Linked DNA regions of Ovis aries. The protein of the gene in region 6 purifies or fractionates together with the protein of the main gene of each other region. This does not show direct contact. Links are inferred from orthologs where the notes say so. Each region holds a gene or a part of one and is shown on either strand. Other genes may lie near its edges. The genes, in order: HNRNPAB, SF3A1, FUS, KPNA2, HNRNPA2B1, HNRNPU and DIMT1.

The links.
Region 1: the proteins of HNRNPU (region 6) and HNRNPAB purify together in Homo sapiens (affinity purification with mass spectrometry; 4 studies listed by BioGRID and IntAct, with this or other methods). This does not show direct contact. The link is inferred for Ovis aries from reciprocal best matches to the Homo sapiens genes HNRNPU and HNRNPAB.
Region 2: the proteins of HNRNPU (region 6) and SF3A1 purify together in Homo sapiens (affinity purification with mass spectrometry; 3 studies listed by BioGRID and IntAct, with this or other methods). This does not show direct contact. The link is inferred for Ovis aries from reciprocal best matches to the Homo sapiens genes HNRNPU and SF3A1.
Region 3: the proteins of HNRNPU (region 6) and FUS purify together in Homo sapiens (affinity purification with mass spectrometry; 7 studies listed by BioGRID and IntAct, with this or other methods). This does not show direct contact. The link is inferred for Ovis aries from reciprocal best matches to the Homo sapiens genes HNRNPU and FUS.
Region 4: the proteins of HNRNPU (region 6) and KPNA2 purify together in Homo sapiens (affinity purification with mass spectrometry; 3 studies listed by BioGRID and IntAct, with this or other methods). This does not show direct contact. The link is inferred for Ovis aries from reciprocal best matches to the Homo sapiens genes HNRNPU and KPNA2.
Region 5: the proteins of HNRNPU (region 6) and HNRNPA2B1 purify together in Homo sapiens (affinity purification with mass spectrometry; 4 studies listed by BioGRID and IntAct, with this or other methods). This does not show direct contact. The link is inferred for Ovis aries from reciprocal best matches to the Homo sapiens genes HNRNPU and HNRNPA2B1.
Region 7: the proteins of HNRNPU (region 6) and DIMT1 purify together in Homo sapiens (affinity purification with mass spectrometry; 3 studies listed by BioGRID and IntAct, with this or other methods). This does not show direct contact. The link is inferred for Ovis aries from reciprocal best matches to the Homo sapiens genes HNRNPU and DIMT1.

The regions. Positions count from the first base shown.
Region 1 is NC_056058.1:36,983,677-36,987,830, forward strand, and holds the start of HNRNPAB (heterogeneous nuclear ribonucleoprotein A/B), read left to right. Parts: upstream 1-1,354; 5' UTR 1,355-1,394; exon of another isoform or gene 1,395-1,561; intron 1,562-1,637; 5' UTR 1,638-1,659; coding exon 1,660-1,868; intron 1,869-2,591; coding exon 2,592-2,760; intron 2,761-3,430; coding exon 3,431-3,589; intron 3,590-3,762; coding exon 3,763-3,894; intron 3,895-4,154. UniProt on the Homo sapiens protein: Binds single-stranded RNA. Has a high affinity for G-rich and U-rich regions of hnRNA. Also binds to APOB mRNA transcripts around the RNA editing site.
Region 2 is NC_056070.1:69,356,454-69,359,953, forward strand, and holds part of SF3A1 (splicing factor 3A subunit 1), read right to left. Parts: intron 2,103-3,500; coding exon 1,895-2,102; intron 804-1,894; coding exon 546-803; intron 1-545. UniProt on the Homo sapiens protein: Component of the 17S U2 SnRNP complex of the spliceosome, a large ribonucleoprotein complex that removes introns from transcribed pre-mRNAs.
Region 3 is NC_056077.1:27,781,693-27,785,641, forward strand, and holds the start of FUS (RNA-binding protein FUS), read left to right. Parts: upstream 1-1,149; 5' UTR 1,150-1,221; coding exon 1,222-1,234; intron 1,235-2,778; coding exon 2,779-2,803; intron 2,804-2,889; coding exon 2,890-3,044; intron 3,045-3,812; coding exon 3,813-3,949. UniProt on the Homo sapiens protein: DNA/RNA-binding protein that plays a role in various cellular processes such as transcription regulation, RNA splicing, RNA transport, DNA repair and damage response. Binds to ssRNA containing the consensus sequence 5'-AGGUAA-3'.
Region 4 is NC_056064.1:48,653,715-48,657,904, forward strand, and holds the start of KPNA2 (importin subunit alpha-1), read right to left. Parts: upstream 2,801-4,190; 5' UTR 2,699-2,800; intron 1,093-2,698; 5' UTR 1,070-1,092; coding exon 995-1,069; intron 846-994; coding exon 708-845; intron 1-707.
Region 5 is NC_056057.1:71,303,366-71,307,591, forward strand, and holds the start of HNRNPA2B1 (heterogeneous nuclear ribonucleoproteins A2/B1), read left to right. Parts: upstream 1-1,426; 5' UTR 1,427-1,594; coding exon 1,595-1,600; intron 1,601-4,226. UniProt on the Homo sapiens protein: Heterogeneous nuclear ribonucleoprotein (hnRNP) that associates with nascent pre-mRNAs, packaging them into hnRNP particles.
Region 6 is NC_056065.1:31,691,209-31,694,708, reverse strand, and holds part of HNRNPU (heterogeneous nuclear ribonucleoprotein U), read right to left. Parts: intron 2,555-3,500; coding exon 2,415-2,554; intron 1,853-2,414; coding exon 1,753-1,852; intron 1,411-1,752; coding exon 1,298-1,410; intron 983-1,297; coding exon 719-982; intron 563-718; coding exon 443-562; intron 118-442; coding exon 1-117. UniProt on the Homo sapiens protein: DNA- and RNA-binding protein involved in several cellular processes such as nuclear chromatin organization, telomere-length regulation, transcription, mRNA alternative splicing and stability, Xist-mediated transcriptional silencing and mitotic cell progression.
Region 7 is NC_056069.1:17,147,897-17,152,158, reverse strand, and holds the start of DIMT1 (probable dimethyladenosine transferase), read right to left. Parts: upstream 2,801-4,262; 5' UTR 2,683-2,800; coding exon 2,604-2,682; intron 2,265-2,603; coding exon 2,191-2,264; intron 949-2,190; coding exon 862-948; intron 1-861. UniProt on the Homo sapiens protein: Specifically dimethylates two adjacent adenosines in the loop of a conserved hairpin near the 3'-end of 18S rRNA in the 40S particle.

The DNA.
Region 1 (4,154 bases), on a different chromosome or scaffold from region 6:
TCCAAACGTGAAATTGTGACATTTTACATTCTCATGGCAACTTCACTGGGCTTCCCTGGTGCCTGCGATAGTAAAGAATCTGCCAGCAATGCAGGAGACCTGTGTTCGATCCCAGGATTGGGAAGAGCCCCTGGAGAAGGGGCTCCAGTATTCTTCCCTGGAGAATTCCATGGACAGAGGAGACAGTAGCAACTATAGTCAGGCTCTTTGGGACCATCGGGTTGCTGGACACGACTGAGCAGGTTGGCTTAGGAAGTGAGCCTCAGACCAGAGCTCTGGGCTTGTTTTCTCCTTTATAAACTGGTTGTCAACTTCCATAGGGTTGTTAAGAGACCAGATGAGAAAACAGAATGCCCAGCCCACCACACTGGGCCCGGCCACAGGATCCCAGCGGGAGATGTCAGCTACTTGTGTTCTGCTGTTATTTGGCAACCCCCGAGCTTCAGAAGTTTTAATCCTTCTTCATTTGGTATTTCTCACCCATATGGTTAAAAGGAATCATGACTATACAGGCCTTTCAAGCTTGGTCAAGAAGATAAATAAGTAGTTTGTATATTAGAAAAAGAGAACTATTCTTCCCTTCCCCAAAACTGCATGATTTCAAGGAAGTGGTGTATTCTTAAAAACAGATTTCAGCAAAAATAAACGAATCGAAGATATTAAGTAGTCAAAAGTAAAAATGTGATGCTAATCGTCAAGGTGGTGCCAAGCGACCTAAGAATGGGCAACACCGCAGTCCCACAGTTTCTCCCGCGTGGAGCACCATTGGCCACCCGGCGAACTCCGCCCCCTCCTCGCTTCTCGCTTCGGGGGGAAGCTGCACAAGGGGCTGGATCGTGTGGCTTGGACGGCACCAAGGTCAAGGGGGACGGCTGGTTCCGTCCCAGTTTCTTGGGGTTTGGAGGACACTACGCGCCCAATCTCCGAAGGCCGGGTTCTGCACTTCCAGTCGGGCGACCTTGGTTTCCGAGACTTCCTGGAGTCCAGTTTCCTCTTTTGGGAAATGGAATGGCCAAGGCTGCCAGTGCTGGTTTAGGGCGCACGGGGACCAGAGTCTACGGCCTCAGAGGCGAAGGGTCAGGCTTGCGCCTCTCCGGTGTGGGGCTCAGACCACCGGCCACTCGGGACGGGACCGTCAAGCCACCAGACCCAGGCACCCTCCGCAAGGCCCCGGCTCGCGCGGATTCTAAAATGAGGACAAAGCCCGCCCGGATCTACCGTGCGCGCGCCGCTGCGGCCAATGGGAAGCCGGCACGGGGATGAGTGACAGACCGGCGAAGCCAATGAGCATGCACCTTGTTGCGAGGTGGCCTTGGCTCCGGCATTATAAAGAGCGCCACGAGTCGGCATTGTCAGGCGGCGGCACCGCGCGGCCGGGGCGAGCTTTGGAGTCGGTGGGTTCTTGTGGCTGCGGAGGCGGACTAGGCTAGCGCGAGGTCCCAGCGGCTCCGTCGGTAGACGGGGGAGAGGCCCGGCAGCGCGAGCGTGAGCGCGGCTGAGCCCGCGGGTGCCTCCTCGGCGGGTGGGGACGAGCGGGCCCCGCGGCGTCATCGGCGGCGAGGTGAGCAGCCGGGCCCGCGGGCGGGAGCCTGGGCGGGAGTGGCGCCGGCCTGACGCGCTGTGGCTGCTCGTTGCAGGAGCCGCGCGCCTCGGCCTAGCATGTCGGAAGCGGGCGAAGAGCAGCCCATGGAGACGACGGGAGCCACCGAGAACGGACATGAGGCTGCCCCCGAAGGCGAGTCGCCGGCCGGCACTGGTACCGGCGTTGCGGCGGGCGCTGGAGGCGGGAGCGCGGCGCCCCAGGCCGGCAACCAGAACGGCGCCGAGGGTGACCAGATCAACGCCAGCAAGAATGAGGAGGACGCGGGGTAAGTGCTGCTGCGGGCCGACGGGGGCGCCGCCTTTGTTCCGGGGCCGCCTTTTGTTGGCGCCACGCGGCGGGGGGAGGGGCGGGCGGCCGGGGCCTGCTCGCGGCCCGCAGACCGGCAACTCCGCGCCGCCCGCTTACGGCGCGCGCTGGAGTTTGCAAGAGTTTGTTGGGTCGACTTTAGCGCCGCCCCGGGGCCGCTGGCGCGGGGACCTGCGGCAGGCGGCCCGGAAGGGGAGTGAGCTCGGAGCCGGGGCCTGGCGGGTCGCGCTGCCTAGGCTGCGTGGGCGGAGTTGGCGCGCACCCGGGCCTCCCTCCTCCGGCTCCTGCCGGGGGCGGAGTCCTGGTCTGAACTCTGACTCGGCCCCGGAAGCCTCGAGTTCCTTGAAGTGATCGGAGGTGGCAGGGACTGTAGTGTTTTGATACATAGTTGTTAGACAAATTAGATTCCTTCCGGTTGTGAGACCTCAGGTCCTAGCTCTCCGGCCAGGTTGTGCTTTCTTTCCTCAACCAGCCTAGGGTATGGAGTCACCTGAGGCTTTATTAGGGTCTAGGTTGAGTTTGGAAGGGTAGGGGAGACTCGTTAACATATTCCAGAGGTAGAGCCCTGTTCCGAATGGTGGCTTTCTAATCCTTTCAGTGAGAGCTTTGTCAGGGTCTATCCTTCCAAAATCACGGGTTGGTTATAAGGCTTGTTGCTGTATGTCTCACCTCACTATTTCAGAAAAATGTTCGTTGGTGGCCTGAGCTGGGATACCAGCAAAAAGGATCTAAAAGATTATTTTACCAAATTTGGAGAGGTCGTTGACTGTACAATAAAAATGGATCCCAACACTGGCCGGTCAAGAGGGTTTGGATTTATCCTCTTCAAAGATGCAGCCAGTGTGGAGAAGGTAAGCTGGGGTAGTTCACAATCAGGAGTCTCAGTGTATTCCAAGATAACCATTCTTAGACTATGATTGGCTTATGTGTTTTGCACAGCTGAATGCTCTGGGAAGAGCAGAGAGGTTGAGAATTTATCCTGTTCTTTTCCAGGGGATTAAAAGTAGAGATTAAGTGGAGGAGTGAGTATGGGCAGGGGTGATCAAGGAAGGTTTATAGTGGACCATTTATTATCTTGTGCCTATTCTGGACCTTGCTAAAGCAAACATTTCATTGAGAAGATTAGAAGAGAGCCCACAGTTGCTAGGAGATAGGCATTACTTTAACCTCGTTTTGCAAAAAACAGAAGATTAAATAGAAGAGATCACATAGCCAGTAAAGGGTGGATTGTGAGGATTCCAGCCCTAGCAGCCTAATTTTAGCCTGTGCTTTAAGTTTATGGAATTGGCTAGGCAAGAAAAGGGGTGCGGGGCATGGTCAAAAGTCTTGGGGGTGGTTTGATAGATTTCATAAACCAGGTTAAGTCTGGAGATTGGGTTGGGAAGTCAGGTTGGGGTAGAGTTTGGAGGGGATGAAGCAGTTTCGTGTGCCTGTGTTGGGAGTCTTATGGCTGAGAGAAAGAAGGTCCTTGTTTTGGGTCATGCTGCTGAGTTAGACCCCAACTCCCTTCCGTTGGAACAGGTTCTAGACCAGAAGGAGCACAGGCTGGATGGCCGCGTCATTGACCCCAAAAAAGCCATGGCCATGAAGAAAGACCCAGTAAAGAAAATTTTTGTAGGGGGTCTGAATCCTGAAGCCACTGAGGAGAAGATAAGGGAGTACTTCGGCGAGTTTGGGGAGGTGAGTGTGTGGTCCCCACAGTGGTCTGCCAGCTGCAGTGATGTTGCCTTCTTACTGGTCCTTGACACCTTGGCTGACTGGAACTTTTTTTCACTGTGGTGTTTGTGGGCCTTTTCCTATGAGTTCCCTATAGGCTCTGAGGTAAGAGTCTTGAGCTTTGCCTATGTTTGCAGATTGAAGCCATTGAGCTTCCAATGGATCCAAAGTCGAACAAAAGACGAGGCTTTGTTTTCATTACCTTTAAAGAAGAAGAACCTGTGAAGAAAGTGCTGGAGAAAAAGTTCCACACTATCAGTGGAAGTAAGGTAAGGTGTCCCCAGCTGTGTGTGCACTTAGCCTTCTGCTGGAACTGGCCTTTGCAGGTGTGGACTAGGGCTTGAACCACCTCCAAGAGTTCTCCAGGGTGGACCGGACTGTTTTTGTGCAGTGCCTGCTGTCCTGATAGGGACCAGTGGTCCTGTCCTTCAGCGCTCCCAGGCTGGCAGGACAGGACCTGAGGGAGGCAGGAGAATACTGGAGCATGGGCGGCCCCTCTGGGACGGGTAGTGTGTGAGCAGTCTCTTCA
Region 2 (3,500 bases), on a different chromosome or scaffold from region 6:
TAGACCAGTCTCCACAAAGACAAGAGATTTCTGTCTTCAGTTCACTGCTGCATACCCAGAGCTTGGAACAGGGCCTGGCACGCAGAGCTTTTTTGCTGAGACAGCAAATGGTGGCCTCATGTAAAAGAGCTACTCTTTCCAACCAGCCCAACCGTACCCACGCTCACTGGCAAAGCGGCTCAGCCCCGCTCCACCCTCCTTGTCTCCCTTCCCCAGAACCACATCTGTTCCTGGAATTCCCGAGTCCAGAGCCACATCAGCACCCTCAGGTTAGAGTGCTAAAGGTCCATACCCACGCTCTGCGGCAGAAGGACCAGGAGTCACCCCTGGAAGCACCCTGCTAGGGCTGGGTGTTAACCCAGCTAGCACCCAGCTAGCCCTGGAAGTTAACCCAGGGCTCGCTTAAAATTGACACTGTAATCCTAATAACCCTCGGGTCTGGTGACCTGAATGACTGTTCAAGGCCCCACCCAGGAGCGGGCCCCCTGCAGGCGGCGTGGACGGCGCGCTGGCAGCAGTGTGCGCTCCCCCCGGCCCCCAGGCACCTTGGTGTACTGCTCCACCAGCTTCGTGAAGTAGTTGAAGAGGCTGTGCTGCGGGCGCAGGAAGTCAAACTGGTAGTTGCGCTGCTCTTTCTGCATCAGCTGGGTCAGAAACTGGCGCCCATTCCTGGCCACAAACTGAGCCGTCAGCTTCACCACGTCCAGGTCGAAGGCTGAGATGGAAGGGGGGTCTGCGATGAACTCAAACTCGGGAGGGGGCTCTTTGGGCACAATGGTCTCTTGTATCACTTGGGCTTGAACCTAAGATGCAAAGGGAATGTGAGGCGAGAGGCAAGGGGTGGACTGGCTCCAGAGACGGGGCACGCACGCACCACCGGAGGATGGCATGGCCCCCTACTCCTCTGTCAATCACATGCATGCCCCAGCACGTGGCGGGAAGAGAAGCCCAACTCAAAGAGCGTCGATGTCTCGGCCAAGTGTGGCCTCGACTCCCTGATGGCTTTCTGAGTGAGAACCGTGTCTCTCTGCGTGTCCATTGCTGCCCTGAAACTGAGGACCGAAACTGGGTGGCAGAAGATCCAACAGGGATGGTTTATTAAATCCCACGCAAAGGGGCAGAGGATGTAGGAAGCCCTACACGTGTGCAGAGGACCTCCCCTTCTGGCCTCCACACGAACCATGAAGTGGCCACAAGTACTGTGAATTCTTTCTATACAGGAGGAAACTGAGGTTGCCTGAGGCACCAGGAGTAATCAACTGCAAAGTACGGTCTCAGAACCTTCTCCAACCTTTCCTTCCCACCGTCACACAAGGGGCAGCCTTTGCCACCACGGCTCGGGAGGCAGCAAAGAGAAAGGCCCAGTCCAGGTCTACACAGGAGGCAAAATGTGTCCTCACTGACGGCCCGAGCCACCCGCAGTGCTCCGAGGGCATGCCACACACAGGGGCCCGGGAGGCAAGACAGGGGCGAGGGACACGCAAGAAGGGGCCCACAAGCCACGCCGTGGCACTGCCCGGACGCCACGGCCAAGGCAAGGAGCAGGGGCTGGGAGCCTGGGCTGCAGGGTCGTGACTCCGCGGCCCTGGGTAAATTGGGCTTCCCTGGGCCTCAGAGTCCTCGTCTGAAAAAGGGTCATTTTACTGGCTTCCTCCCGCAGCCCCTGAGAGGCACCAGTCAGACAAGGCCGCCAAAGCTCTGCACACAGAGCTGGACAGGCCCTCAGCCAACGCCAACTGTCAGCAACCCTCTGCTGAGAGAGCCTCAGCACGCACCTCTGTAAGATGCAGACAGAGGCCTCACGTTTCTACCCACGTGGCTGTGGGGTGTGGACAGCAGGTCATCGTCTCCCTCCCTCACCCCTGGGGCAGCGAGGCACAGGGCCGGTTCCCACCTTCTGGGGCAGCTGCTGCTGGGAGGCCTGCTGCTGCTGCTGCATGACCTTGGGGATGGCGGCCGAGGGCTCCTGAGCCTTGCCCTCCTTGAACTCGCTGACCTTGTGCCGGTAGTAGGCATGGTAAGGGTCGTTGGGGTTCAGGAAGTTGAACTTGGGGTTGTTGATCTCATTCTGTCGTATCCTCGCTTCAAATTCAGGTCCATTTCTAGTAAAAGAGAAAAAAGAGAAGCATCGATCCTGCAGCCCTCTCAAGTGCTTGGACCAGAATACGGCTCACTCAAGTTCCGTTCTTGCCACCACCTACCACTCAAACGGGCCCCTCCCTTGGCTGGCACAGCAGACCACCTCCCCGAGACTCCTGGCATCAGCGGCCAGCGCCCCCGCCTCCTGCAGCCCATGCAGGCCCCAGCGACCCCAGGGCCTCAGACCTCCGTCATTCCTGCAGCACCTCCGCCAGTCTCACCCTCTCCAAAATCATCTCGTTATCGCTCTTCTAATAAAATGTATTCACTTCAAAGAAAAGTACTTTAAAAGGAAGGCATGGGAATCCCCTGACGTCTAGGGGTTAGGACCCCATGCACTCTCACTGCACTGCAGAGGGCTCCGGGGGGGTGGGCAGTGGGGGTGCTGCGGGGGGAGGGGGCAACAGGGGGAGGAAGGCGTATGTCACTACTTCAAATAAAAGTCGTTATGGCTTTGCTGACAAAAGGCAGCCACACCAGGCAATACAATGAGAGCAATGCAGCATGGTTCAAGTTCAGTTCAAAGTTTGCTGAGACTGAAAGCAGTTCTTAGTCAAAAAGCAGGATGACTGAGTGCTTGGGAGGCATCAAGGGTGTGTTAACGCTAAACTGAGATACTGTCCTCTAACTAGCAAGAATGGGGAAAAAAAAGACAATGTGAACAGGATTTAACACCTTGGATAAGTATTGGCTGTAATCATCTCCTTTACTACTGGGTGGGACTCATACAGGAAACACTGCTCTCCAGGCCCGGGGGCCGAGCTGCAGCATAAAGCACGCTCACCGGACAGCGACGTGACGTCAGGGAGGCCCCTGTCTCTCTGTATCTGGAGGAGTTTCCCACACGCACCCTATGTCCCCAGTGTGTATGCCTTTAAACCCTCAGAATGAAAAACGTCCTTCTCATGATGTATAGGGAACCCTGATTTTTTAATAAAGAGTCCCAACAGTAACATTTCAAGGTGTCACACATCCACAATACCCGTATCAGTCAGAAAGTGCACTCACCTTAAAGACACAAGATATGGACGTGTTCAAGTTTTGGGTTCACTGCTGACTTACCAAGTTACTGAACGTCTTTTTGACCCAACTTCCCATGGTAAAATACGGCTAAATACCACCCTCTCTCTCTACTCTGAAGTATTGAGAGAACTGATTAGTGAATGAGAAGCCAAAGTCTATTGAACCGCACAGGCCTGAACACCCCAGGGCCTGTTGCTGCTCTGAAGGCTGGAAGGGGCTGCCCTATGAACAGGAGAGGTGACTTGGGAGCCGGGAGACGTCTGCGGGGCCTCCCTCACTCCTCTGGCCAGAGCCCTGCTCTCAAGAGCGCCCCGGACACATCAAGGGGTGGCTCCAGA
Region 3 (3,949 bases), on a different chromosome or scaffold from region 6:
TAGGAACTTTGACTAGAGTGCAAGTTGCAAGTTAATTTGAATTTCACATTTTGTCCTCGTTCTTGTAGAGAGTGAAAAGACTTCAGAATACCGCAAAGTGTTCACATAACCAACAAAAGGAGTGTTTTTGTAGCTGCACAGACCTGGATTCGAATCAGGATACCTGTTCTATAATCACGGATTGTTCTTGGTCGGTGTCTTATTTCTCTTTTCTATAAAATGGGGATAGCTTACTTTCTTCATAAGACTGTGTTGGGAAAGCATTTAATTGTGCATTTTGAAACGACTTCAGCTCTATACAAATATCACTTACTACTGGATCTCCACATTGGTTTCTTGATAGAGTTTCAGGAAAACATCTGTGAAAGGGTGGGAGATACCTATCTAATCTCAACGCTCTTTGAGATCCGGAGGGTTTGGGCTTTCCCGTCCAACAGCTAGTCAGGGGCCAAGGCTTGAGGACGCTGGGTGGGCGATCAGTGCTTGATCAAACTAGGACCGAAGGGTCTGGGCTAAACTCCCTGCTTTATTTCTTTCATGTCAAAAGGCACAATCTACAAACCCTGATAAGGACTCAAGAGAGGTAAGCCAAAAAGACGATGAGTGAAAACCGAGACGCTGAGAGAGGGTCTGTGTCTGTTGTCTTGGGAGGAACATTAGAGCCAGAGAGGGAGGATGTGCCGGAGGGAGTTCGCGTCTGAAAAAGTGGAAGGGGAACGGAACGCAGGAACTCCACACCCCGAGTGAAAGTGAGGCCCAGTGAAAGGGGCCAGCCTGAGGAATTTCGGTTCCCGCCCTACGACTCCCGGCTTTGACTACAGTTCCGCCCGCAGCAGCCCTGGGCCCCTTGCCCCGCCCCCAGGGGTTAATCGGATCGTACCATTATGCCATCCTAGGGGCGGAGGTGAAACGTGGGCTAGTCTTGCAAAGCAAATAGTTCTTTGTCAGAAAAAAAAGGGTTATCTATATGATCTGAACGTTTCTTAGTTAATATATTTCCTTTCTGCCTGCTAGGATCCTCTATACTCCCTGAAGAGTGCCAGGAGTCCGGCCATGTTTCCCCCTTTCCTTTCCGTAGTTGGTACGTTCCCCCGGGAGACGTAGGCGGGGAGGCGTACATAAACCTCGACGCAGGAGGCGGGGTTGCTCAGTCCTCGAGGCGTCGGTGCTCTGTAGTGTTGGAACCTTGTTGCTTGTCGGCCTGTGCGCGCGTGCGCGGACATGGCCTCAAACGGTAAGTAAGGGCGCGAGGCGATCGTGGCGCGCCGGCCCCGGACCTCATTCCTTCCCAGTCCGGCTTTTGTTTTTCGGTGGGACCCGGGCGGCTATCGAGTGCAGGATCTTTTCCTCGCACCACTGGCTAGAAGCAGCGGAGAGGGGTGGAAGGGGGAGGCCGATGTCGCCATTTTGTTTTGCTCATCTGGCGCCTCGCGTGGGGCGGGAGGTCGTCCCTTCGTTGCCCCCTTCCTTGAGGTGAGGGTTGGGAGAGACGCGGCTTAGTGATTGGGAATGGGAGGCATGGATGGAAATGCTCGGCCTCCGTATCCTCTTCTCCCCCTCGTCCCCAGCCCCGCGCTCGGGCCCGCTTTGTCGCAGTGCTGCATCCGGGCACTCGGAGGAGCGCGCACGCGCTTTGCTAGCCCCTCCTCCCCTTTCTGGCGGCGCGAACCGCCCCCCCCACCCCGGTCTCCTGTCTGCCCTGCTTTTTGTCGCGAGACCCTCGGCTGGAGGCTCCGCGGCGCGCGTCCGGTGTGGGCCGCGCCCCCGGGGTCCTTCGGGAAGGGGCGGGACCGCCTCGTTCCCGCCTCGCTTGCCACGCGGCCAGAGGCGGAGGCTCGGGGTCTGGGCCGCGCGCCCGCTTAACGGCTGGGGGTGGGGGGCTGGGGAGTGGTCCAACGGTCTTGAGGACTGGGCCCGAGGCCTTTCCCGCCTGAATTTCCTCTTGCAGAGGTGGGAACTGAAAAGAACTGTCGCCTGGGGCCACACCCTCTCTCGGTGCTTTGGCTCTTTCCTGCGGGGGAAGCGCCTCGTTTCCTGTATCGAGGAGATGAGCGGATCAGGCCCGTGCGTCTTCCATGTGGCGTTTTAAAAAGCACTTTCGCTGCTTTGGATTCGCCTAGTCTTCCCGCAGCCCCGAGTTAGCCAAGAGGGACAGGAAAACGCACTCGTTTGGGAGCCACAGGGCTGGGGGCTTGAGTACCAGCCAACGTGCTGATCAGAGTGCTCTCTTCCCTTGGTTAGCTGGCTTTGCACCAGAAGCTCCCATTTCCAGGCTCCAAGATTGGGCAAAGGGTGAAGCGTGGCGTTTTGTGAGACATTCTTGTTCTTTGGATTGAGAAAGCGGAGGCTCCCTTCGGAACAGTTCTGCCTCTGGCTTGAATTAAAAACCTGTCCTGCTGAAACAGCTGTGTGGTTTCAGCCTAACTCTTGGCGATGTCTTCTTTCTCAAGGGAGCGTGGGAAAGAAATGCGTAAATCTTTGCAGTTCTGACATCGATTGAAGTTGCGGACAGGTTGCTGCTGTCCGTTAGCACTCTTGCTTTTTCAAGTACTTAAGGCGTCTTTCTTGGTTTTGTGGAAATGCGCTTTCTCGTTGCCTTTTTCATTGTAAGAAAACTTGTCTGGGGTCTCACAGACTGCCCCTCTCCATAGAATTTCATGAGGGAATATATGCCTCCTTTGTTGATTTTCTTATCTGGGGACCCTGAAGCTTAAGTCTTTTAGCTCGTCTATTCTGAGAAATGGCTGAAGGTAATATAATCCTGTTTTTCTTTTGCAGACTATACCCAACAAGCAACCCAAAGGTGAGTGTCCCTTCTGGACTTCCAGAGTTTGTAGAGGGTGAGGGTGGTTAAGATGTCTTTTCCTGAGAGCACTGTTTTTTCTCCAGCTATGGGGCCTACCCAACTCAGCCTGGGCAAGGCTACTCACAGCAGAGCAGTCAACCCTACGGGCAGCAGAGTTACGGTGGCTACGGCCAGTCTGCAGACACTTCGGGCTATGGCCAGAGCAGCTACGGTGGTTCTTACGGACAGACCCAGAATAGTGAGTCTTAGTGGGTCACCCCACCTCTTCTGCTCTTTGTGAATGTTGCTTTTCTTTTTTTTTTTTTTTTTGTGAATGTTGCTTTTCTTAAACCTAAGCAGTGCTGAAACATTCCCCTTAACCGGTTTTTGACCCTTAAAGCTCTTGGATGTTTTGAGTCCTTTGAAACAAAAAGACTTAATTGGTTTGTAATCCTGCTTCCTTTTATTTTCTGTTACTTTTTACTTTTCTGTTTATGCTGCTATTTTCCCAATTTCCCCTAAGCATGAAAGTGAAATGAAGGTGGGAGGAATATTCTCTAGAGGGAGAAATGCTTTAGGCTTTTAAAGAGGGAAAATGACTTGCTTGAAGACATTTGAAGTCAGGTGGCATCACGTGGATACACCAGGAAGTGGAATTTGCCCTGAGGTCCCTGGAGTGTAAATAAAACGCCTTGTCTTTATTTGTTCTGCCAGGGGCGGGCAGGTTAAAGTGCTGTTAGTGACAAGAGATCTCTTGGGCTATGACTAGTGGTGGTCCTGGAGGCTGGCTTTGGGGGTGTGTGGTATGAGGTTAGAACTTAAAACTTGAGTAGAAGTTGAAACACAGCTTTCAGGTAGAAAAGGTAATCTCTTTAGCTATGAGTTGCAAGATTGCCAAGCATTTTCTAAGAAGTTGACTTACCAAGTACAGGAAGCACTAAGTGGTATACAGGGCTGTTCTCAGTGCATTCCCTGCCTGTTCTCTTTCCTCATAGCTTCTGTGACTTCCCTTTTCCTTTCCTTGTAGCAGGCTACGGCACGCAGTCAGCTCCCCAGGGATATGGCTCAACTGGTGGCTATGGCAGTAGCCAGAGTTCTCAGTCGTCTTACGGGCAACAGTCTTCGTACCCTGGCTATGGCCAGCAGCCAGCTCCTAGCAGCACC
Region 4 (4,190 bases), on a different chromosome or scaffold from region 6:
TGGGTTGGGAAGATCCCCGGAGAAGAGCATGACTACCCACTAGAGTATTCTGGCTTCCATGGACTGTATCGTCCATGCGGTCGCAAAGAGTTGGACACAACTGAGCAACTTTCCCTGACTTCTGATAAAATCACGAAGTCTCCATGAGTAGAACTCTAGGATGGGTCTAATTTCCAAAAAACCTTTTAAAAAGGATTTAGAATCATAAAATTTCTAAGATGTTTTAAGCAGTATTTTAAGAAAACTTTTAGGTAAACAGTAAGTGGCACAGAAAGAAAATCAAGAGACAGCTGAGGAAAAAGACCTGAAAAAAGCTGGTGACAACTACAAAAAAAAGAGAGGGAGGGAGGAAGGGAAAGGGAGAGAAAGAAAAAAAAAGGCAGGAAAAAAAAAAAGTTGGTTCTGGACATACTTTCACTGAACACTTGAATGGCCAACTCAAAGTAAAAGCTGGCAACTGGAAAAGCAGGGAAACTTGAAGGGGAGATCAGAGCTAAAGACAACCTTGGAATCAGCTTCCACAGATTACAGAGGATGGGCGGGGGGAAGATAATCCATCAGAATTACTGAACAGGAGCACACAAAGACAGATCTTCACATTTGATAGTTAAAACCCACAAAGCTAAGACATGTTATTTAAATATCTCAGAAAGGCCTCATATTGATTTTCTGGGTTTACCATAACTCATAAACTAAAATATCCTCACCTGGTTGTTGCGGTTTTCCTGCAGTGGAGAAGTAGCATCATCAGGAAAAGAGCTGACATTTCTCCTTTTCAGCATCTGGTCATCCTTCTTAGCTTTCCTTAGCTCCACATTCACTTCTATTCGGCGCCGCCTCATTTCCTTGAGAAAAGATAACGTATCATCTCACCTATTACATCAGTGTTAGGTGCCAAGTGAAGACAACTTTTTAAATTCACTCAAAGTGTGGACGCTCTTTCCAAATACCTTACCATTTAAAAAATACTAGAAAAACAACAGAAGGTACTCACTGTACTGTCTTTCCCCTTGTTCTTGAATCTGTGAAGGCGGGGAGCTGGTGAATTAGCATTCTCATTGGTGGACATGATTATGAGACAAAGGGAGAAAGCTGCAAGATAGGGGAGAGAAAAAAATTTCCTTTTTATCACTTTGTTTGGCAATAACATAGCATTAAGGGAATTATCAAATACACGTTCAATCCGTATTTCCATACTAGAGGAGGAACTTCCTTTTTCAGCACTATGGAACATGAGTTTTGGCCAAATTATATTTGGCCCCTCCCCTCTGAAGGGCTGAGGCTTCCAGGAGCAGTGCTGTCCATCAGAAATATAATGCAAGCTGTATAAATTTAAGCTTCCTAGTAGCCACGATTGTTAAAAGCAAAAAGGAACAAATGAAATTAACTTCAATAATATATTTTATTTACTCCAATATCTATTTTCTCACTTCAACACATTACATCAAAAAAATTACTGAACTATTTTGCATTCTTTTTTCATACTAATTCTTCGAGATCTTGCAGGTACTTTAAGCTTACAGCATTAACTCAGTTTAGACTAGCCACACGCCTTTGGTGACTATCACACTGCACAGCATGGCTCTAGACTCTATATAGGATCCATGAATAGTTAACTGAAGACAACGTACGGGATATAAGGTTACAGTTAAAATCTATGTCGTACGGGCCACAAATTCAGATCTGGAGGCTCTGCTGCTGCTGCTAGGTCGCTTCAGTCGTGTCCGATTCTGTGCGACCCCATAGACGGCAGCCCACCAGGCTCCCCCGTCCCTGCGATTCTCCAGGCAAGAACACTGGAGTGGGTTGCCATTTCCTTCTCCAATGCATGAAAGTGAAAGTGAAGTCGCCCAGTCATGTCCGACTCTCAGCGACCCCATGGACTGCAGCCCACCAGGCTACTCCGTCCATGGTATTTTCCAGGCAGGAGTACTGAAGTGGGGTGCCATTGCCTTCTCCGAGGCTCTACTGGCTTTAAACGGCCCAAACAGATACATTCTGCACGTTTGAAAATATTTAAAAATCTGATTCGTCGTTAACATTATGTAAACTTTCATAAAATTTCCTGCCCACCCTGAACACCTGCGACGCAGTTCAGCATCTCGCACGTTTTCATTTCCAGAAATTCTGAGTGAATGCACTAAATTAGGCTCTATCAGCTGCGTTCCACTCAAACTCACCTACTTAAGAGCAATCTCCCAAAAAAATCACAAAAGTCCTCCTTCAAAGTGGCTATCTTTAATTCCATTCTGTTCTTTTACGAAATCGTGACACAGCCAACCCAGGGCCTACAAATTAAGAGATAGCACTTCCAACTGCCACCTCCATCTGCAGTCCCCTCCCCTACCCCCTTCCCCACCCCCATTTCGGGGAAGCAGCAGCGGGAACCCGCGGAGGAGGAGCCAGAGGCGTCGGGCCCCCTACCGAGGCTTTCGTTCTCGGGCCTGACTCTAATAATTCTTACTCAAAGGCGATTGCAGCGGTTCGCAAGGCCTCGGGCACTAAAGCCCATGCACTCGCATCCACAGTGAAACACCCGTTTCGTCAACGAACTACGCCCCCAAGGCCTCATCGACCAGAGAGGCCGAAGCCTGGCCGGGCGTCTACCCCGGGACTCCCCTCCCGCCTCCAGCAATCCAAGAGCGGCCTAAGGACCAGCCTTTGTCGCTCCACCTGCACTGCGACCTCAGTTCGTTACCTACACAGCAAGCTCAAGCGTCCACCGGAGGCTGTGCGCGGCGCACAAGCTGCGGGATCTACTGCCTCCAAACGTCTACCACGGTCAGCCCGAGGACGGTGTGGCTCGTGCAGCCGGCCGGCGCGATTTAAATTTCCCGGTGGCTCCGCATTCCGATTGGCTGGTTCGAGCTTACGCTATACGCCCATTGGTGGATTTGAAAAACACGTTAGCTGGGGAGGGGTCAGAGGGCCCAGAAGTAGATAGGATAGCATCGCGAGATAAGGGAGCGGCCGCGCGATCCCTGAGAGCCTTGCAGTGCGGAGAAGAAAAACTCCAGATCCCGGCATGCAGCGCGCAGGGCCGGTTCCCTGTCCATCTTGGTCGGAGGGTCAGCTCTTTGCATGGGTTTACCGCGGTGTGGTGGCTGGTCGTTTTCCTGAGTGTTTGCCTTAACTAAGTACCACAAATGATTCCCAAAATAATTCTCTTTAAAAATCTTAATAAAGAAATATATTGCTATGCATTTTTCCCGATGGGACTCAGAAAGAACTTTGCCGGGGTCTCTGGACATCAAGCAGGGGAGGGATAAGGCAGATATGTGCTGCATTTGTTAGTTACTGTTTTTAACTTGTGTCATAAAAGACTGCATAGAAGGCAGAACTATGTTAACAAAAGCTTTATTAATGCCTGCTTCTCCAGTCTTATTTTTAATAATTTGAAATACAAAAGAACTGCAAATCTTTATCCATATTTGTTAAATGTTAATTTACTATTTTGATGTGTATGTATATATATATGTATACACACATGCACGTGTACCTCTATTTATATATACATGGCTTTTACATATTACTTTTTGAACCATTTGAGAGTAAGTTTGAGAAATCTTGTCCGTTTACCCCTAAATATTTCAGCTTGTATGTTGTAAGAATAAGGACATTCTGTTATATTACCACACCATAATCATCAAATTCAAGACAATTGAACTTATATGCGATTATTTATTCTGTGTTCAGATCATCAATTGTTATAGTAATGATCTATGCTATATTTTATATATTTCAAATAAAATGTTTGCATTTTCTTGTAATTTAAAAAAAGCTTCAGTGATAGTCATCAGAACCTCAGGATTATGGTCCACTTTCTTTTCGCAGCTTTTCTGTATCCTGAGAAGGGTATTTTTAAGAAAAGCTGTATTGGCTTTTTCTTTTTTTACTATGATTCAAACAATGAACTTTGTCCCTCCTGCAGGCATTTTTGCCAGCCTCACTCATTGTGTAACAGTAATGAGAGTCATGGAGGTTCCTTCTACTTCCACATAACCAATCAGGATAATCTTACCCCCCCTAAATGCACAAGGTTGTGGGATTTCACCTCTAAACCAGTCACTACATGGTATTCTCCAGGCTACTGTGAATGGTTCAGGGGCAGTCATGTGACCTAAATTCATTCAGTTGAGAAGCCGGATACCTTTTGTTTAATGATGAGAGGTAGGAAAGCAGGCTCTGTT
Region 5 (4,226 bases), on a different chromosome or scaffold from region 6:
GACGGGAAGGAAGGCCCCCTCAACCTCGTCCGGGATGGGGGAGGGGAGGAAAAAATGCGCTTTGTCTAGAAATAAGGCGGCTGGCGCCACAGCTTTCAACCTTGAGAAGAGTCTCATCCCCTAAACCAACTACAGACGCCGGCCCGAAGCCAGGCCCGCCACGGGGTCTCTGTTCGCTTCTCCTTTCCTTCCCGCCAGGTCCTGACTCAGGGTCCGGCGAGGAAGATAGGAAGCGGGGAAATGCGGGTCTCTGGGGCTTATGCGGTATCTTAAGCAACACCACCGAGTGAAAGCTAGAGAAAAAAAAAAAGACACCGACTTCACCGCCTCTGAGCTGCTCCGGGTCCCGGGTCTGCGACGTCTCCGGCCCTGCGCGCCTCAAGCTCCAGTCACATCCGAGAGGGAGGGGGGCTGGGGAGCAGCGCTGCGCGCGGGGCCGCCGCTGGGGGGAGGGGAAGGTGGCACCGCCCACGCCAGGCAGCCGCCAGGGGCGGGGTGGGCGCGCGCCCCGGGGGGTGGGGCCGCGCGCCGCGCAGTGCCCGCCGGGAGCCCGAGCCGGAGCCCGGGCCCGACGGAGGGGGGAAAGCAGGGGGCGGTGACAGCGGCTCTTAGAGTTCGCGGCGTGGCGTCTGGTGGTCGCCCGAAGGGAGGGCGAGGAGGGAGCTGAGGGCCGCGACCTAAGCCTACTCAGCGGAGGTGTTTCCTGCTTTGCTGCCGCCTTAGCGACTGGCGCCAAAACAGGACTCCGCCCACTTCCTCGCCCCTGGGGTTGGGTGCCTCCAAACGTTGGGGGTGGGTGGGAGGAATCGGGAACTAAGAACGAGCACCACTTTCGACTACCTGAAATGTGGACCCCAAAAACATTGGCCAGGGTTAGGGTGGTGGATCGTTAAGTGTAATTTGTTGACTAGAAGTCGCTTCGGGTGTTTCCGGAAGGGGTCAGTCGGTTCTCCGCGCAGAGAGGGGAGGATAGGAGAAGGTGGGGGAGGGAAAACACAGTGGAAGAGACTACAAAGATTTTTTTAAAACTGGGGACCGAGGAAAAGCCATCGAAGCGTAGCTGTAAGGACCACTTCCCGGGATGAGGGGGCTGGACTTTTGGGTTGAGGATTAAGCTCCTCCCAACAGCGTTAATTTCAAACTGCGCGACCGTTTCTCACCTGCCCTGCGGGGGCAGTCCCCAATTCCGAGAGACAGAAATACGCAGGACTCGAGCCTTCCGCAATTTACAGAGCCCTTTTACGCAACTGACGTCCAGCATCAGTGCTGGCCTTAAAGGGGGAGGGGCACGTACTTGGCGCTAGGAGGTCGTAGAGCGTTCCCGCCATTGGCGGCGGTTAGGACGTTTACGCAACGGCCTGACGTAGGGAAGACGCGTTAGTCGGGGGGAAGGTTCTAGAAAAGCGGCGGCAGCGGCTCTAGCGGCAGTAGCAGCAGCGCCGGGTCTGGAGTGGAGGTGCTCCAGCGGTGTTGTTTCTCGAGCAGCGGCAGTTCTCACTACAGCGCCAGGACGAGTCCGGTTCGTGTTCGTCCGCGGAGATCTCTCTCATCTCGCTCGGCTGCGGGAAATCGGGCTGAAGCGACTGAGTCCGCGATGGAGGTAACGGGTTTGAAATCAATGAGTTGTTGGAAAGGGCATGGCGAGGCCGTTGGCGCCTTACTGGAAGTCGGCCATCCGCCTCCGTGGGAGAGCGGCAGCGAAATTGGGCCACTTCATAAGCGGTTGGTCTCAGGATATTTTTGGAGAGGGGTCGTTAGCAGAGGCCTAATTGTACAGCACCTTCCCCACCCTCAGCCTCACGGCGCCATTTCCCTTTGCTGGGGGTGGGGGATGGGGAGCTTCCACATGGCGGACGCAGCCCCACTTTACTGAAAGTGGGGCGCGGAGGCAGGAATTCCTACTCCGTTTTTAAAGAAGGGTGGTTTGGGGGTCCTGGCGTCCCCGCGTTGGAGCGTTTCGGCGGGTTTTGGGTCCTAGCGAACCGGGCTGCGGAGCTTCCCCTCCCCCCTCCCGGGAACCGGATTTGGCGGCCGCCATTTTCATTTCTCTCCTTCCTCGCAGCGATTTCTTTTTAATTCTCTAGATTTGACTAGCTTGACTTTTTCAGTGAGGACTAGAAGTGGGTAACTATTCATTTCTTTTTTCGGACTGTTTTCGTGCTGTTTCGAGGTGGATTCCGAGTGTGTAGGGAGCTTGGAGCTTTAAAGTCCTGCGCACCTCATTAGAGGCTCGCTCCTTTCCCCTCGATGAAATGGCGCCATTGCGTTCAGGAGCCGCACCGAAGGGCGGGGGGAGGGGCGGCGTTCTCCTGGGCGGTTTCGCTCGGCTTAGGAGGTAAAACCCTCTAGGGTGTTGGGCCCGGTTTCACGCGTGCCACGGTATAAAGACCTCATATTTTGTTTTTCAGTCCTTGTTTGAGTAACAGTTTTACCTGCGTTTCCGGTGATTGAAAAGGCAGTTGAATCGTAGAAAACATAAAATGAAAATTTTAGAGAAGATTATCGATTTTGCGGGAGGCCGTGGGGAAGGTGGTCTTTGGGGGGGGCGGTGTTCGGTTCAGAATCCTTTATTTTCCTGACGGATTCTTTTTTAATCGTATAATTTATTTGTATTTTAAGTAGTATTTTTACCGGGGAATTTAGTCTTTACTGGGTAAGGTTACGGGTGTTTTTTTAGTGATAAACTTGAAATTATGAGTTTAGTTGTACTCTGATTAAAACATGGCTCGGTCCCTCAATGCGTGTTCTGCTGTATACAAAACTTTTATTAGGCTGAGCCACTGTGTTTTTGAACTTTGTCACTTGCTTTTCTCGTTTATGTTTGCAATCATGGTTGATGATTACATTGATAAGCATAAGGTCTCAAGCGAAGGGGGTCTGCCTGGGTATTTTCATTGACCCTAAGCACGCTTATAAAATAACTTTGTTTGTAATCGATAGTGGACAGCGGGTAAGTTTGGAAAATGAGGTAAGTAATGAGTTTTTGCCTTTTGTTAGTGATTTGTAATGTTGTAGATGTATTTTAGTCTCTTTATTGGGGTTTTAAAAGGCCAGTTAACTGACAAGTGTTTGGAATAAATAAAATATGCTTAAGTGAAGTGTACAAATACCAGTATGTCAAGTTACCGTTTTAATAGATTGTTCTTTTAAGTGTTTGATAAGCTAGTTTGAGAATTTGTCTTTTCAAAAATTTCAGAATCTTAAAAGTAACTGTACAGGCAAAGAAATCTCTGCATTATTACTGTTTTCTAACATGTTGGGAGAATATCATGCATGGAGAGAAACTTGATGGAACTATGGGTTGAGTGTTGTAGTTCTACTTAATTTACCTACGTGCACTTGGTGGCTAACTTTCGTTTCTGAATGTTATTTAACCTAGTCAACTGAAAACCAAATAAAATGATCCAAGCTTCCTTAACTGATAGCCCCAAATACAGAGCTATTAATGTAGCTTATATGCGTGCTGGTTTGTAAGGATTGAGATTTCAGCTCAGGCTCTCTTCTCACATGAAAGTTGTTTTATGCTGTGTAATTTGCCAAAAGACCACTGAGTTCTACATGGTGAAGTGTAAGTCGTAGTGATATTTTGTAACTAGAGAGGATAGTCACAGTGGTCATTTAAATATTTTTATGGTTTTTGAAAATTGAAGTTACAGTGTCTTTTACTGTATTTGTCTTTTGGTTCAGTAATAGTGGATTGGGCCATCAACAAAACCAGCTATGTTAAAATATGTGCTTTAGAGACCGTCAATCATAAAAGTCATTTTATACTTTCGTCAGAAAAGATAAATTTTGAGGCTATTTTGCCACATATATTGAACGTTTAAGATTTTCTCTGGAGAGTTGGTATATGAGGAAAGAAAGTCAATACTAAGTTTTTCAGAGTTTTGAAAATTGAGTTACATTATAATCACCACCAGAGGGAGCAATGAAGGGAAACTCATTTCTTAAATGCTAAATCCAGAAACAAATGGGAACTGGGTTATAAAGCGAAAGTTGTTATATTTTAAAAATTTGTATTTGAATATGTAAAAGTGAACTCTGTTCTAAGTTATAGGATCGAATGCAGATGTTGATAAGACTCTTAACTTTACAGTCACCAGGGACTAGATTTGCTCTTCTTTCTTCAGAAAGATTTTTTTTAAAACTAAGTGATGCTATATTTGTTTAAACTCATTTAATGTCAAGTAAGTTTATATCAAGCATAATGATTTTGAAACGTGTAG
Region 6 (3,500 bases):
GAAATTTCGCTTCTTACGGGCAGCAATCTCAATAAACTTTCCAAGACACTGTGGAGCTCTCTGCAACAGCGTGTTCAGTTTTCCAGTATCTGCCATTTGCTTCTTAAAACCTGCCACCTTTTTTTAAAATTAAAAATAAATTTTAACATTGCCTTTCCTCAATGCTACAAGTAAGGACATTTTATCCTGTAACACCACCCAATGCCAATCAACTCATCTTTATCTACTGGATAATTGAGTTAAAAAAACTTCTACAGAAAATGGAGTCTAGTCACTGGAAAGAAAGCAGTTTACCTTAGAGGTGAAGCACCTACTTACATAAACATTTAACTGTCCAAACTCATCTCTCTAAAATACTAAACAAAATGGATAAAAACAAAAGTATTACCTAGAATACCTTCTAGTCTTTTAAAAATGCTGAAATCAAGCCCATTTTACTTACCATCATTTTATCCATTATGGTGTTTGTTCCAAGAATGTTGTATTTACCAGGATTTTCTGCTGCATGTTTAGTAACCCAGGTAGTTTTTCCAGCTCCTGGCAAGCCAATCATCATAACCACCTACAATGGAAAGAACTGTTTAAATATTTTTTTTAAATACACAAAAGCCCAGTTTACACATTTGAACTTCCACAGCCTTTTAATGGGAACAAGTATAGCAGTAAATTAAACAGAACTTTAGCCAAGCTTCAAAAAATTTTTTTTCTAGTGACTTACTTCGCAATCTTTCTTCTCTTCAGGCCCCTTTGGTCCTCTAACTCGATCCTCCAAGGGGACATTCTGGATAAAAGTATAGTCTTCAGGTATTGGAAAATATGGCTTTTCCTTCTGACCAAAATTAAATTCAACTGCACAGTTGTGGCACAGAACATGTGGGAAGAGTGGTCGTCCAGCAAGAACTTCCTTACTGATTTTGAAGGCAATGCCAAGATCTTGTCCATTCTTTGCGTAAGAGAGTTCTACTTCATCACTTTCAAAGTTCTGTTAATTGGAGAGAAAAATTAATGGGTTTTAATATGCTTCTTGTAACACTTCTTAAAAAAAAAACCAACCTAGGAGTAAAGCGTATCCTGTGGATATTTAGGTTATATGTTTAAATAGCTTGGTGTGAACAATTAAAACACCTATGTCCACAAACAGAAATTAATACTATCCAAAAAGACTAGATTTGGGGATCAACTTCATATTAAGTTTTCAGTCAAAATCAATCAGTAATTGAAAGTTGATATTGATATAACTTTAAAATAATCTTGTCTAATAACTTGCCATTTACATACAAATTTAGCTGTGACTTACAGCAAAACATGTAATCACATCATTTTCATCAAACTTCTCTCCATAATCTTCAGTCTCACAGTTGCATGTTTTTATTCCTTTTAGAGAATATCCATAAGAAAATTCTTCTTCGCCTAAGAAAATAATTAACTTTCATTAAATCAACTCTCCAGAATAAACCGACCCATTATTTTTTCAAGATGTAGGGTTTAAGAGTATACTATACTGACTTTATACTAGATATAAAAAGCTAGGTGGTTATTTAACTAGTTGACAAACTGCATGACATGACAACATTCTATTTGAACCATCAGCCACAAACCAATTAACTATAAAGAAAGAAAAGCCAAAATTTAGCCTATGCTCATGTTACTATCATCTCTAAAAAACAGGCAAAAAGTTTAGAATGCCTGCTAACTACTGAAATCAAACACTAAACACTCATGAGTACCAAGATACTCAAATGGAAACTTTACCGAGCAACATTCCACTTGTGGTTAGTGACCACCCAATCCGAACTTCATGTATGTCAATATCTTTCGTATATAAATGCCTCACTGGGATCTTCTCTGTAACCTGAAAGTCAAAGATAAACAAACTGTGAACCAAGGAAAATAAACCACTTAATCAACCCTAGTTTATTTCATTTGGGCAATGGGCTAATTCTTCTTCAGCTACTAAGTACAGAGACACACCAACTTTACGCTCCCCCAAACATTTTTAAGAAATTCAAAAATTAAGGGCTTATAACTTGAAGCTGAAAATTTACTTGGTTGAGTCACATTTAAAAGAAAATGTTGAAATTATATATTCTCAATGCTTCAAAACCAACTAAACTTTATTCTTTAACATGTTTTCCTCAGAACAAAAACTGGAGCCTAACCAAATTTTTTCAAACCTTTGGTGGGCCTTTCAACTGCCTGATAAAAAAATGAACACCCTAAATAAAAATTATGCTGGCTCTATCTACATGGCAACTTCTAATATAACAAACATCTTCAACTACTATAAAACACAGGGTTAGTCCCTCTTGTAACCCACAGAAACTTGAAAAAAATAGAAGTTCCACTGATATCTGATAACAGGCAAAAACCTCACGAAGCTTAAGAAAAAAAGAACATCACAAAACTACTTTTACCTTCATCTCAAAACAGACTTTGCCTTTTGACACACCATAAGATGCCCTTCCTCCAGCCCAAAGAAAAGCAAAACTCTCCATGGTAAGGGAAGAAGCACTGAGGCGATCTCTTGATATTTTAAAATGTAGATCACAATTATCTGCAATTATATCAAATGCCATATTATTTCTTTTGATATCCACTATAAACATCTGCCATGTAGACAAAGCTGTTATTAAATTTTCACATATTTCTGAATGCTGCATACTACATTTTTACAGATGCTGTTCTAATTTTCAGTTTAAACCCCACTCCCACCAAGTCATTCTTGCCAAATCATGAACTGAAGCGTACACTACCTATGCAGCTAACAAATATAAAGGTTTAGCATATGCGTACTTTAAGTATATAAAATAATCAAGACAATGTGACATTTATACATACCTGCTCTGCTCTTTACCTTGATTTAGAGGCAAGCAGTAGAGGATAGCAGGAAATCAAAGTGAAGCATGCCAGACCAGGTAGAATTTACCAGTGCCACAATAAAACTGAAGGGAGGCCATGACCAAGTATTTTAAAGTAAAGAGTATGAGCTGTTGATCCTCACTTTACAGGGGTTCTAGATCTTAAACTCTTTGCTAAAACTTGTTAAGAAGGCAATCTCAGTCTATACAATACAAACCTGGTCATCAATGCTGTTACTACTACAGCATTTTAGGTCCCCTTTCCCCAGATATGCCTGTTAATAAGTATGGGGGATTACACACTTTGGAGTAATCCAAATCCAAAACGACTTTAACCTAGCTACCTTTGGGTCACTGGCTCATTAGCATGCACCTTCTGAGTTCTCAGTGGAAGCAACACTAAATTAAGAAAGCTAGTTTCCTAAGTTTTACTGGAGAGATGAAATTAAACCTACAGTCTGGAATTCCTTACATAAGCTTTGCTCTTTACATTTCTGATACAATGTTCAACAAATTATACTTGAACCCAATAATGCACTTAAACTGGTATCCCTTGATGAGCTAAAAAGCCTTTTATAACAGCATTATCTTCCTAAACCACTGCTTCATAGCTCGCCAACTATAAGCAACTAAACATAAAAC
Region 7 (4,262 bases), on a different chromosome or scaffold from region 6:
AGGTTGCTCGATGGTAACTGTTTCCTGCTGTTGATAGTCCCTAGGTTTTTCACTAAATGTTTACTGGTTCCCTTAACATTCTCACATCTTGTCAATGGTCTCTTCACTGAACTCTCCTCAGATAAGTTCTCTGTTGCCTGCATCTACCAGAAGACACAGCAATGATCTGACTTAACTGGAACTGGATCCACCAAGAGACAAAGAAGGTACCAGCAGCAGGCAGGTGACACTCCAGTCTCAGAGGCCTGTGCTGGATCTCCTCCAAAGTTCCAAGTCCAATAACTCCAATCCCCTTGCTTTGTTCCCCTGAGCCGAGAGGTGGTAGCTGCTTTTTGTAATTCTACTCTTGGGTTAACCTCAGTGTTTTATTCTCTTGGTCCTCTAACAACCATGTAACCAATTCCCTGTACTGAAGTATCCAATGTCATACGTTTTCCTGATTGATATACTTATGTTTTTTTCTTTTAATCCATTAAAAAAAATTGAGACATAATTGACATAAAACATTAGTTTCAGGTATACAACACAGTGATTTGATATATATATAACATTCATGACCACAATTACAATTTTTTTCTTGTGATGAGACTTTTTACTCTCTTTGCCAACCTTCAAATGTACTACAGTGTTGTTAACTATAGTCATGATGATGCCCATTACATCCCCAGGACATATTTATTTTATCCTGGAAATTGGTACCTTTTGACTCCCCCCAATTTGCTCATATTTTATAAAGTTTCTAGCAAAGGAGCAAGAGTTATTGTTAAAATAACAGCAATTCATTAAAACAGATTTATACTTGTAAACCACCTAAACTTACTCACATGATACCTGATACCAAACACTAAATCCTCTCTTTACCTTTTTTGCCTTTTCCAGCAACTTTACAGTCATATTGCCAGTTCCAGGTCCAACCTCCAGCACCACATCAGTTGGTCGTAAGGCAGCCTACAAGCAAGCACAACTACTTTAGCTTTACAGGCACGTCTGAACACATAATTTAATTTACAGCAAAATAGCTTTACTCAAAAGTGCACAGTTAGGAGATCTTATTCTGACTTCATTTTTAGGAGATGGCTTCATGATCTATGTTTAAAAAAATTATCTCATTAACATTAGGCACAAGTGGAAATTGAACAGTTCTCCTAACTTGGGGCAATAGTTAGGAGTCAGAGAAGTAGGAACAGCAGTTCTGAGTGGCATTCTCCTTCCTATCTTTGAAATGATTCCAACAGCACCTTGTTACCAACACTATTATCACTAGGTTCAAAAAGGAAGGACCAAAATGATGAACCATAGCATGTTGTACTGGTATTTCTCAATTCCACATCCATGTATGGTTTCAGGGGTGCAGAAGGATCCAGAAATTGTACACAAAAATTAATGTCAGTCCAGTGGTTAGGACTCCATGCTTCCTCTGCAGGGGGCCGGGGTTAGATACCTAGTGTGGGAACTAAGATCCCACAACCCTCAACATGTGGCAGAAAAAAAATGTATACGTATGCACATAGCTGGAGTATTCTGAGTCTGTAACTTTCATCACATGCACAAAGGAATTCATGAGCCAAAAAGGTTAAAAAGCTAGGCCAACTCTCATTTTGCATACAACATTAAGTTGACATCTCTCACCCAGGTAATGTCCTTTCTACAGCGCCAGGATACTTCCTTTGCAACCATGAAAGTAATCTTCACCACCTATTGTTTCACATCCTAGCTCCCAATCATACAAAACAATAAGAAAACATCAATAACCCATGCAGGAAGAATACTCTGAAGAGTTTACATGTGGCATTGGCTTATAACATGCAGGTTTCTCTGGGGAACAAACTTCCAAAGGTGTCTGGATATAATTTTAGGGTTTGCAGTAAACAAAAACTAACAGTGATAGATGCTGCCTAGAAAAAGTGATTGGTAATAGAAGAAAAATCTGGAATTGAACAGGTAGAAGTGTCAAGCTAAAAAGTAAATAATCTACAGAAAGATAAAAGAATTTGGAGTCAGAACCCGAGACTCACAGAATAAAGCAAATCATATTGAAGAGAACTTGCGAATCCTACACAATTCTTCAATTCATTCCACAAGTATTTATACAGCATCTATTTTCTGTCAGGAATCCTATCTGTGCTTAGATATTCCTAAAATTAAAATCAATAACCCAGTAACTCTCTCCCTCTCCTCTTTCGCACCCACCTTATCGATAATGCTGTTAACAATGAGAGGATTTTTCAAAATATGCTGCCCAATCCCCGTGTTGAACATGAGTCCTGCAATAAAACATGAAATAGCCTTAATTTCCCAACTAAAAACATTAGACCGTCCCAGAGAAGAAAACAGGATAGCTAGGGGACGGTATCTGCTCCAGCTAGGGGTGCCAAACGTCACGCTAAGGAGCTGGATGACAGACTGTTTTAAGGCCACCCCTTCCGTGAAGGAAAGTCAGAGGCGGCGCGCGGGGCCTGCGCTCGTCGCTCGGGCAAACCCGGGACTCGCGCGCTCCCGGCGCCCGGTCTCACTGTCCCCGCCAGAACTCCGCCCGTGCCCCGGCTCGGTCCCACCGGAAGTCCCAACCCAAGGGACCCCAGCTCTCTCGCGGCTGTCCCCACCTCCGGCGCTCTTCAGCTGCCCGCGTTGTTGTTGCCGCTCGCGGCGGCGGCCGCTAGCCGCTGATTTGATCTTCGGCATCTCTGCAGGCAGAGAGCTCACAGGCCGAGGAAGTCAAGAAGGATCCGAACCCGCAACCTCTAGTCTCCGCACCACGTGGGAATCACCAGCCCGCACCACCAGCACCCTATCGGGCCACGCGGGGGTGGGGCGAAAACACGCCCCTCGGTTTGCTCCGGGGTCCGCCCCCAGAAAGAGGGCGGGCCTTTGGAGCCCGATGGCCGCCTGGAATAAGCTCGGCCTCCCGGGAAGCCTAACCTCGGAAGCCTACAGATCCCAGAAGACACCGCGCTGCCGATTCTGGCAGTTTGGATTGGCTAGTTTAGAATCGGGGGCGGGGCCTTGCCCCAACACGCACCAAGCTAGTTAAATAGGTTTGGGTGTGGGACCTCAAGGAAGTGGAGGAAGCTTAGGTTACGTAATGCAGTTAGGCTTGTGGATGCTTTATCAGGCTAGGTTGTTGAATCGCTCAAATCCAAAGAAAATTTATGTCATGTATTTCTCTCGTGTATCCCAACCGATTGTGGGTGAGGATCCCAGGAGCTTGGGAAGAGGAGCTTGCTCCTTTAGCGGGAGTGAATTCTCCGCTGCTTGTATTACGGAAAGTAACTCTGAAAATGTAATTATGTGCTTAGTTTGACTGGACCTACTGGTGGTTTCGCTTCTTTCTGTGGCACGTCATTAATTTCCTAAACCTTTCCATATTGAGCTCTTGCTATGTATTAAACACTGCTGGGTGACGGAGATTCGAAGGTAAATAGGAAACTGACCTCAAAGTTTATTCTATTGAGAGAGTTAGACAAAAAGTCTGAATCTGTAAATGTGGTCATTGTTATGTATTGGCTATTGTGATAGGACGCTGTATCTGACTGAAAGTTACATGAACACAATGTCCGTGTCTGTTTTAGCTGTCAGCAAAATGTTTCTGTGTGTACCTATTTACCTGAAGAAGCAATCTGTTTTTACCAAAGCTGACTTCTCTTCCCTGCAGAATTTATTGTGTGCATTCCCTAGCCTTGCTCTTTCTTTGCTGTAATTCTAATTTAGGAAAAAATGTGTATACCCTGTTAGCAATTTCAACTGTCTCTTAATTCCATTGATCATTGATTTATTCCACAATTCTGGAACATCCACAGTGTGCCGGGCACTGTGTCAAATGTTAGGAATTTAGAAAATTAACATGAATGACAATTCCTGCTTTTAAAGAACTTTCAAGAGAGGAAGACATTCAAATAATTACAGTAATAGCACCATTTGCCGATATATCTTTTCACCATTTCAAAGTTCTCTAAAATAGGGGCTTATCATTGTGTTCATAATACAGATGAGGATGTGTTCATAATACAAAAATGTTAAATATCTTGCTCAACATCACACAGTAAATGACAACTGCATCTTGAAACTCGTTCTGTATTCTGAAGACAGTGTGCTCTAAAAGAGGAATGATCTTAGCACTATAGCTAATACTTGCGGTGACTGGGGAGCATTTTCAAAATAGAATATTTGAGCTGAATCATTAAAGGCCAACCAAAAGTTAGCCAGGGAAAGTTTGAAAATTCAAAGGGAAAGCACTAAAAAAAGACTGGATATAAGAGTATTTG